Linked DNA regions of Rattus norvegicus. Each later gene encodes a partner of the first gene's protein in a complex. Links are inferred from orthologs where the notes say so. Each region holds a gene or a part of one and is shown in the gene's direction. Other genes may lie near its edges.

Region 1 (5,110 bases):
ACAATAAATACATGTAAACAATTTAAAATGGAAAACTGTCGGGCTTCAAACAGTTTCAAAGGCAACAAGCAGCTAAGGTATCTATTTAACATGTCAAAGTGGATTTGGTCTCCAGGTTCTCCCAGCATCCTTCAGTTCCCGCCCATTACAGGGTATGGCTGGAATACCCATCCTCTACCCTGAACTCTCCAGCCCAGGGGGTGGGTTTCCCCTTCCCCAGAGGCTCTTCCCCATATAATCCAGACATTTTGTGCGCTCTCTCTCTCTCTCTCTCTCTCTCTCTCTCTCTCTCTCTCTCCATTTTTCTCTCCCTGCCTATGCATTCTCTTTCCTCTTATCTCTCTGCCCCCACCCCACCCCATTCCCTCCTGGTCGGTGTGGCAATTTCCCTGGCCCCATCGGTATCAGTGAACCTGCTCGAGAGCTGCCCCCAAATAAACCTTCCCTACTTTTAGTTTGACTTGCATTGGGTTATTTCATCCATAGAGAAAATCTATTAAAAACAAACACCCTGTAGACAGCACTGAACACCAACAGGACCGTTCCCTAGGCAGGACCTTACCTTCTAAATGCAGCCGCTGCCACCTCAGCTGACTCAGGGACACAGGTACGTAACTGGAAGCGGTGCGAGGCAGTGGTTAATGCACAGCCTTTGGTACCTGAGGTCTGGAGCACACCCTGATGATGCTTTCACTTCGTGGATAGGCTAATGAGCCTTCCTGGGCTTCATTTTCTTCATCCCTAAATCAGGGACAAGAGTAGTACTCTGCAGGTGGGGTTGAGGGAGTTACCGCGATCAGACTTAAGTGTAAGTGTCAGGTTCAAAAGAAACTGCCCGGACAAAAGGCTAAAGGAAGTATCTATTAGCATACTAAAGCCCCGAAGAGCATGCTGGCCTCCAGGCTCCCTCAATCAATATCTGTAGCTCTCCACTGATCTTCCCACCTTACTCCCTGACACTAAACTTCTCCAGCTCCTGGGCTTCCCTCCCCCAGCTTCTCCTTCCCATAGAACCCGGCCTGTTTGACCATGCTCTGCTCCTCTCTCTCTCTCTCTCTCTCTCTCTCTCTCTCTCTCTCTCTCTCTCAAATGAGACTTCGTGCTCAAGACTTTTAGAAGTAACATTAAGAATGGGAAGTTATAAAATCAAGAGACTGTAATGGAAACTAAACAACTCTCTCGAGCAGCTCTAATTAGGATGTGTCAGAGCCCAGCCTAGGAGGCTACTTAGTAGGCAAATGCTGTTACACTTTGACCTCCCTCCTCAGCTTGCATGGGACTGACAACCAAGGGGAAAAGAGGAACTTTAAATGCCCTAACACCACCCAGCATAGCCTTCTGGGAATGTCTCCATTAAAACTGTAGCTGACTAAGGGCTTACAGATCCCAGGGAGGGTGCGTCGGTTCCTACTGACACCGAGGGCTTTCCTAGCTTGTTCCCAGGACTCTATGGTTCCCTTCGGATTGAAACGGGTCCCCAAGGGCAGGACATAAAGCACAGCAGGCAGGCCTCTTATTCCCGGATACCTGTCTCACTGGTACCTAGAGGGAAATCAGGAGGGGTGTGGCCGCCCTTCCCAGCCTGCCAGAGTGGGCGGGGTCACTGGGTGGGTGGGGCGATGGGCGGGGCGATGGGCGGGGCGAGATCATTGAGGGAGTTCTAATGCCTCCCTGGAGTCACTACCGGGCTGTCTGAGGAACCTCTGCGCAGCAGCTGGCGGTGAGTGCCTGCTTTCTGATTCTGTGGTCTGCGGGTGATCAGGGTGGGTGGATGTGTGGAAAGGACGGTTTTCTGGGGGAAGTTTGAGGACTCCCGGAGGACAGCGCTTATTGCTGTGGAGGTGACGACCGTCACAAGTCCCATCCTCAGGACTCTTGTTAATTGGTTCTGGAACTGGCATGTCTGAGCTTCTGGAAGGGACTCTGTTTCTCCTGGAAGCGTTGACAGAGTAGATAGGCTGTAAAAGGAAAGGGTGTCTTGAGGGGAGTCTTGGCCAGCTTTGGTAACAGAGAAAGAAGAGGGTATAGGAAGCACATTGAAGCCCCCAGGATCCTTTGAAGTCTGAGGGGAGGCTTTGATTTGTGGATGGCTGGGACATTGGAGGGAAACTTGCAGGTGAGGTCCTTACCCAGAGGGAGAAAAGCCTGCTTTGGGTCTTAGCAGGAACTATTCCTGGTTCAGTTGCCCCCCTCCACCCCCTTCTCTGTAGGCCTCAGTTTCTCTTTTAGCCTTCAGAAATACTCTCTAACCCCAGCTGCTGCTTCATAATCCTTGCCCCAGCCTCCTGCTTACCGTTACTCATTTGTGAGTGTGGGAGTTGGGATCAAACCCTATTCCTGCCCGGACAGACCCACACCTCCGTGCCCAATGCCAGCTAAGCGCTCAGCCTTTTGCTTGGCTCTCTTTCAAGCCTTTGGTGCTGTCTTTGGACAAGCCAGCTCCCAAGCCTCTGGATAGGTCTGAGCTGGCTGAAGCTCTGACTTCTGTGTCTTTTTTAGAACCTGCAAGGTCCTGGCCTGGGATGGGGGCATTGGCTTTCTGGGATCTCACCCAGGGTTGTTATCCTGGAGGGGAAAAGCCCCATCCCCATCTCTGTGCTCTTGGTGAAGAAGACCAAAGAGTCAGCTTCATTGGCTCTGTCTTAGTCTGTTGTGAGGTCACTGGAGCTCCTGGTTTCTTGGCCACTTGATGCCAGTTGGCCTCTACATGCAGCTCCAAGCTGGCACTGGCTCCATCTTGCCCCCTCTCTCCCACCCAGGTCAGCATTGCAGAGTGGCCCAGTGAACAGGAACTTATTGTTAACAAAGTGGCTTCTATACCTGTTTGGCCAAAGTGTGTGCCTTGCAATCTCTGCTCGCTGGTTCCACAGCTACCTCCCCACACTGGGTGGAATAAACCCACCCTCAACTCATGCAGACCCCATCTGTGCCCTGGGTGATACACAGGGTTATGGTGACTACATCCCGCTAACACCTGCCATCTCAGATGACAGGAAATACTGTGGGGAGAAGAAGCTGGGACAGGGCTTGGGGACTAGGGTTTTGCATAGCAGAGGAAGGCACCTCTGAGACAGTCACTACTGAACAAAATCTTAAGGAGGTGATAGGCAAGTCATGTGACTATCTTGGGGGATAGAGAAAGCTGTGTGTGTGTGTGTGTGTGTGTGTGTGTGTGTGTGTGTGTGTGTGTGAAAAGCAGGAGCATGACAGACCAGAGCAGGCTTCCTTGTTCTGAGAGTAAGGAGCAGGCCAGGAGCTACGGCAGGGTGGAAATGGGGTGGGGGAGTGGGGGGTGGTTAGGAGGAAAGAGGTGGCAGCTGAAATCTCTTGTATTGGGCTTGAGGTCACTCTATAAAAGCTGTTGGCTTTCACTTTGACCATGTGGGAGCTGTGAACAGCTCCTGCTCTGACTTAGGGTCTGGCGGGGTTCATCTAGTTGTGAGGCAGAGATGGAGATTCATGGCAGATGAGGGAACTATGAGGGTGCTGTAGAGCTTACATCATGGTATATGGCTTTTAGACTTGGAGTCTGTTGAAGGTTGGGTGTATAGTCTGTGATACTGGAGAGAGGCAGAGTCAAGCCTGACTGAGCGTTTGGGGCCGCCGTCGTCTGGGAGGGGTGCTGTTAGGAAGGAGATCCAGTGATTGATTTTGTATTTGTCTTTTGGAGATGCTGGTACGCACCACTCGATGCTGAATAGCTCCCAGTAACATTTCAGTCATTGTTATCACACAGTTGGGAATTGGGCCTGTGGGCAGAGAAGCGTCAGTAATTCAGTTCTTGGTGGTGGTGGTGGTGGTGGGGGATGGGGGACAGGACTAGGAACCACTTGGAGACAGAGTGGCTAGAAGGAAGGAGAGTGGGAAGTGGGGTGGAGTATCAGAGAAATCCTTCATGACTTTTGGAGCAGTGCTCCAGGGAGGAGGGTGAGCAGCAGTGCTCCAGGGAGGAGGGTGAGCAGCAGTGTTCCAGGGAGGAGGGGGAGCATCAGTGCTCTAGGGAGGAGGGAGAGCATCAGTGCTCCAGGGAGGAGGGTGAGCATCAGTGCTCCAGGGAGGAGGGTGAGCAGCAGTGCTCCAGGGAGGAGGGGGAGCAGCAGTGCTCCAGAGAGGAGGGAGAGCATCAGTGCTCCAGGGAGGAGGGTGAGCAGCAGTGCTCCAGGGAGGAGGGTGAGCAGAGTGCTCCAGGGAGGAGGGGGAGCAGGGTGAAAGAATGCCCTTGATGACAGAAAGGAAGGTGGGGAACAGAACAACTGGAAATCATGGAGGGGGAAGGAGTTGGAGTGTGGACTTGGGAATGGCAGTTCAGGTCCGGACAAGGGAGAATGGAAAGGAAGGATAGATTAGTCTGTTGGTGCTCTGATGGGAACTGGTTCCCTGAGAAGCAATTCAGAGTTGGAGCAGGAGAGTGGGGTTAGTTAGTGCCCCAGAGAAAGCTTAGCCAGCCAGGGCTGGGACAGTTCAGGGTCACATTTCCCTCTCCCCTGGATGCTTCCCTTCTGCTCCAGTCTGCAGTAGGCCCGTGGCACTGCAAACTAAGTCCTCAACTAGGGACTTCATGAAAACCAGGCTACCTATGATCCTGGACAGGAAGGAAGTGCTAAGAAGGAAAGGTGGGCTTGGGGACTAGGAACCTTTGAAGATACCTTTGGCCCTTTATTTCAGAAAGGAGGTGACCCCTTTGTTTGGGTTGCATCTTGCAGAGCCTAAGAGTGACCCCAAGGTGGCAGTGACCTGGTAGAGAAGACAAGGGTGACAAAGCAATGTGTTTAGCCTGGGGAGAGCAAGTCTGACCAGGTAGGACAAGGACAGGTTTCTGGGACTAACGAATGGAGAACTTCCTGGCTGCTCTGGAGGACAGTACCAAGACCAGACCTTCTTTTCCAGCTGTTTGGGATGAGATAGGGGCTTGGCCTTCTAAGAGGCAGGGGACTGGCAGAATTGATCTTTGGGGATATGTCGTGCCTTGTGTCTGCAGACACTGGCAAGATGGGAATTTCCAACTGCAGTAGAAGACAGAGTACCAAACCACATACATGGCCTTCCTGCCTCACCCCACCTGTATCCACATGGCTGATGTCATTGTCAGGGTGTGGATGGTTTGAGTATC
Region 2 (4,634 bases), about 6.8 Mb from region 1:
GCTTTAATGTGGGTGGTACCTCAGGGGGTCCTGGCACCAGCGAGGGGCAAAGCCTAGTTTTCAAGGTTCCACCTGATGGGTCTAAGTAGGTTTGAGGTTTAACCTTGAGGAAGAAGTTGCTAGAAGTGGGTGGGTTCTTGGGGAAGGGCCTATGCCTGTTCTCAGCTCTCTGCCTTCCTACCTCAGGCTCAGGAGAAATTGACTGAGTCCAACCAGAAGCTGGGCTTGCTGCGGGAGTCACTGGAGAGGCGCTTGGGGGAACTGCCTGCTGATCACCCCAAGGGACGCCTGCTTCGGGAGGAGCTCACTGCGGCCTCATCGGCAGCCTTCAGTGCAATACTGCCTGGGCCCTTCCCTGCCACTCACTACAGCACCTTGAGCAAGCCTGCACCACTCACAGGTGGGCTTCTGACTGACTGCACTCTCGGGACCTGGCCCTGAGACCACTTGCCTGGATCTCCAGGCTCCCAGCCATGACTGTGCTGACCCCATCACCTCCTTCCCCTCCATCACTTCCTTCCCCTCCATCACCTCCTCCATCACCTCCTTCCCCTCCATCACCTCCTTCCCTTATCACCTCCTTCCCTCGTCACCTCCTTCCCCACCATCACCTCCTTCCCCTCATCACCTCCTTCTCTGTCACCTCCTTCTCTGTCACCTCCTTCTCTGTCACCTCCTTCCCCTCATCACTTCCTCCCCTCATCACCTCCTTCCCTCATCACCTCCTCCCCTCATCACCTCCTTCTCTGTCACCTCCTTCCCCTCATCACCTCCTCCCCTCATCACCTCCTCTGTCACCTCCTTCTCTGTCACCTCCTTCCCCTCATCACCTCCTCCCCTCATCACCTCCTTCTCTGTCACCTCCTTCTCTGTCACCTCCTTCCCCTCATCACCTCCTCCCCTCATCACCTCCTCCCCTCATCACCTCCTCCCCTCATCACCTCCTCCCCTCATCACCTCCTCCCCTCACCACCTCCTCCCCTCACCACCTCCTCCCCTCACCACCTCCTCCCCTCATCACCTCCTCCCCTCATCACTTCCTCCCCTCATCACCTCCTCCCCTCATCACCTCCTTCCCCTCATCACCTCCTCCCCTCACCACCTCCTCCCCTCACCACCTCCTCCCCTCATCACCTCCTTCCCTTTAATCCTGGTCCCCACTTTCATCTCTGCCGGCCAAGCAACCCCATCTTCTTGCTCTGTTCTGACATTAGACTATTGTCCTCACCCTCCTCCTCCGCCCTGTCAGCAGTCCATGGCAAATCATCACATCTCAGCCTAGTCCTGCTGTCTCCCCTTGGCTGCCCTGAGTGTCACCTCCTTAGACCCCTGCCTCCCTGGCTGACCGTTCTTTCTCGACTGCCACTTGTTCAAGGCGAGGTCCCTTCCCTGTTGTGCTCTCTCCTCTGCCTGCTTCCCATGCGTCTGCCCTTCCTGCAGGGACCCTGGAAGTACGAGTGGTGGGCTGCAAAAACCTTCCCGAGACCATCCCTTGGAGCCCTCCCCCCTCAGTCGGGGCATCTGGGACCCCCGACAGCCGCACTCCTTTCCTGAGTCGTCCAGCTCGGGGCCTTTACAACCGAAGTGGAAGCCTTAGTGGACGGAGCAGCCTCAAGGGGGAGGCAGAGAATTCCAGTGAGTGGTCACGGGAGGCTGAGTGGGTGTGCGGGTGGGTGAAGTGGCCGCGTTTGTGGCGGTTTTTTTTTTTTTTCTTTTTTCTTTTTTTCGGAGCTGGGGACCGAACCCAGGGCCTTGTGCTTGCTAGGCAAGCACTCTACCACTGAGCTAAATCTCCAATCCCTGTGGCGTTTTTTTTTATTGGTTTGTCTATTTGCTTACTTATGTAAAGCCAGGGTTTCACTGTCACCCAGGCTGCCATCCAGCTCTGGGCTCAAGAGATTCGTGGTTCAGCCAACTGAGTTGGCTGTGCCATGGCTGCCATGGCTCTGTACTAGTTACACAGTATAGGGCACTAGACAGGGACTCGAGGGGAAGGAGTGTGTACTGAGTTTGCAGAGGACCCCGACCCACATCAGGTGTCCTTTAGCTGCCGTCACCACAGTTTCAGAGGATCTGATTCTCTTCTGATTTTTTTGCTTACTACATCCATGTGAACAGACTTCCATACTTTCTCTCACACACATAATTAAAAAATAAACATTAGGTACCAGAGAGAAGGCTCAGCAGTTGAGAGCACTGGCTACTCTTGCAGAGGACCTCGGGTTAGTTCCCAGCACCCACATGGCAGCTCACAACCATCCATGACTCCAGTTCTAGAGGCTCTGTCACCTTCTGACCTCTTCAGGTACCAGGTACATACCTAGTGCATATACATACATGCATGCAAAACACACGTACACATAAAAGTAAAAGTAAATAAAAATTAAAATGAATACATTAAATAAAAAAGTATGTGACATCCATTGGGATGACTTACCAAATGATGACAAGACAAACAGAACAAAATAAAACCCCACAAATGTAGAGAAGACGTAGAGAAATCGGAACCTGTGTTGGGTGTGGGAATGCAAAGCGAAAGCCATCTTGGGGAGTCAAACATGCTGGGGATGCTGGGGACACAGGTCAGCAGTGGAGCTGCCTAGAATGCCCCGGTGAGTAGCCAGAGTGTGGCTGGGATAGAACTCCTGCCTAGAGCCCCCTCCCCAGTGGGAAGGTGGGGCGGGACTCAGTGAGAGAGCACCTGCCGAGAGCCTCCCCTGAGGCACTGGAGCCACTGATTAAAGGTAGACTACTTGCCTGCTATACTTGAGGTCTTGGTTCCTTTCATCTAAACCCAACAAAAGTAAAGGTGAAATTAGCAGTACATGCTCTAGCAGTTCAGCTTCTACACCCTCAGAGAACTGAGCAGGGCCTGAGTTGTTAGATGCCCAGCTTGAGGCATTATTCACAACAACAAGAAGGGAGAAGCCAGGCCACAGGTGGACAGGCACACAGTGGGCTAGGATTCAGTCTTAGAAGCAAGGATAGCATGAACCACACCGTAGCACAGAGAGACACTGAGGATGGCGCAGGAAGCAAAAGAAGCCAGTTGTAAGAAGACAAAGATGGCCTGATTCCGCTCATAGCATGTCCCAGAGCCACAGATGCACCGAGACAGGAAGTAGAACGAATGGCAGATGCTAGAGGCTAGAGAGTGTTCAATAGGGAAGGGTGTCCTCATCCTCTGGAATTAAAGCTCAGAAGCCGTCCCGAGTGCAGGGGGTGACTGGTAGTAAGAATGCAGAACTCCAGGCTGGAGAGATGGCTCAGTGGTTAAGAGCACCCGACTACTCTTCCAGAGGTCCTGAGTTCAATTCCCAGCAACCACATGGTGGCTCACAACCATCTGTAAAGAGATCTGACGCCCTCTTCTGGTGTATCTGAAGACAGTTACAATGTACTTATATATAATAAATGAATAAATCTTAAAAAAAAAAAAAAAAGAATGCAGAACTCCATGGATTTGCACTTACACAAGCCCACAGAGGTTAGGTGGGATTTGCCTAGCATGCGTAAGACCCTTAGTTTGATTCCCAGCCCTGGATAAACCAAATAGGGTAGCACACGTCTGTACTACCAGCAGGCTTGGAAGTCGAGACAGGACAATCAGAAGTTCACAATACATAGTGTCCAGGGCCAGCCTGAGTTACACAAGACTGTCTCAAAAACAAACCAAACTCATATCTTGTGTGGTCCTACAAGCCTCCCAGAATTTAGAAGGTAGAAGCAGGAAGATCACAAGTTAAGGGCCAGCTTGGGATACATGAAACATCATCTCAAAAACAAAACAAAAATGAGGGCTGACCTGTGGTGCATGCCTATAACCCTAATACCCAGGAGGCTAAGGTAGGAGGATTCAAAGCCAATCTGGGTTAAGTAGTAAGTTCTAGGCTAGCTTGGTCTTTAGAGTAAGATTGTATCTCAAAACCCAAAAAAAAAAAAAACAAAAAAACAAAAAAACAACAACACACAAACAAGCAACCTCCTTCCCTAAACCCACAGTCGAATTAAAGGCTTTAGTGTGAAAGGCAAGTTAGCAGAGCGTCCAGGAGGGCCTCTGACAGGATTAGGAGCAAGCCCTCCCCTCCCTCTTTCCTGCTGCCCTCTCCTGGTTTCAGCTGAGGTCAGCACCGTGCTCAAGCTGGACAACACTGTGGTGGGGCAAACAGCCTGGAAGCCATGCGGCCCCAATGCCTGGGACCAGAGCTTCACCCTGGAGCTGGAGAGGGTGAGCTGTGCATGGGGGCACCGGGCAGTAGAAGAAGGGGAGTTGAGGCATCAGACACAGGAAGTGATGACCGTTTTTCCTCAAGGCTCGGGAGCTGGAGTTGGCTGTGTTCTGGCGTGACCAGAGGGGTCTGTGTGCTCTCAAATTTCTGAAGTTGGAAGACTTCTTGGACAATGAGAGGCATGAGGTGCAGCTGGACATGGAACCCCAGGGCTGCCTGGTGGCTGAGGTATGGCCTGGTTTCTGACTTCTGACCCTAAGATGTTTCCTGCCTCCTTGCCTCTGATTGTCTAGTATGGGGGAGATTAATTTCAGATGCTTCTGAGCCTTAATGGGAAGTAAGTTTCATGAAAGCTGGGATTGGTGCCAGGAGCCACACATCACACAGGAGGAAGAACCAGCAGTG

What was found.
Region 2: Nod2 (region 1) and Pkn1 share a complex: the UniProt entries of both Homo sapiens proteins name them as parts of the signaling complex. The link is inferred for Rattus norvegicus from reciprocal best matches to the Homo sapiens genes NOD2 and PKN1.

What each region holds. Positions count from the first base shown.
Region 1 is NC_086037.1:34,592,807-34,597,916, reverse strand, and holds the start of Nod2 (nucleotide-binding oligomerization domain-containing protein 2), read left to right. Parts: upstream 1-1,674; 5' UTR 1,675-1,720; intron 1,721-5,110. UniProt on the Homo sapiens protein: Pattern recognition receptor (PRR) that detects bacterial peptidoglycan fragments and other danger signals and plays an important role in gastrointestinal immunity.
Region 2 is NC_086037.1:41,359,817-41,364,450, forward strand, and holds part of Pkn1 (serine/threonine-protein kinase N1), read left to right. Parts: exon of another isoform or gene 1-186; coding exon 187-400; exon of another isoform or gene 401-543; intron 544-593; exon of another isoform or gene 594-628; intron 629-846; exon of another isoform or gene 847-939; intron 940-1,440; coding exon 1,441-1,635; intron 1,636-4,118; coding exon 4,119-4,228; intron 4,229-4,313; coding exon 4,314-4,457; intron 4,458-4,634. UniProt on the Homo sapiens protein: PKC-related serine/threonine-protein kinase involved in various processes such as regulation of the intermediate filaments of the actin cytoskeleton, cell migration, tumor cell invasion and transcription regulation.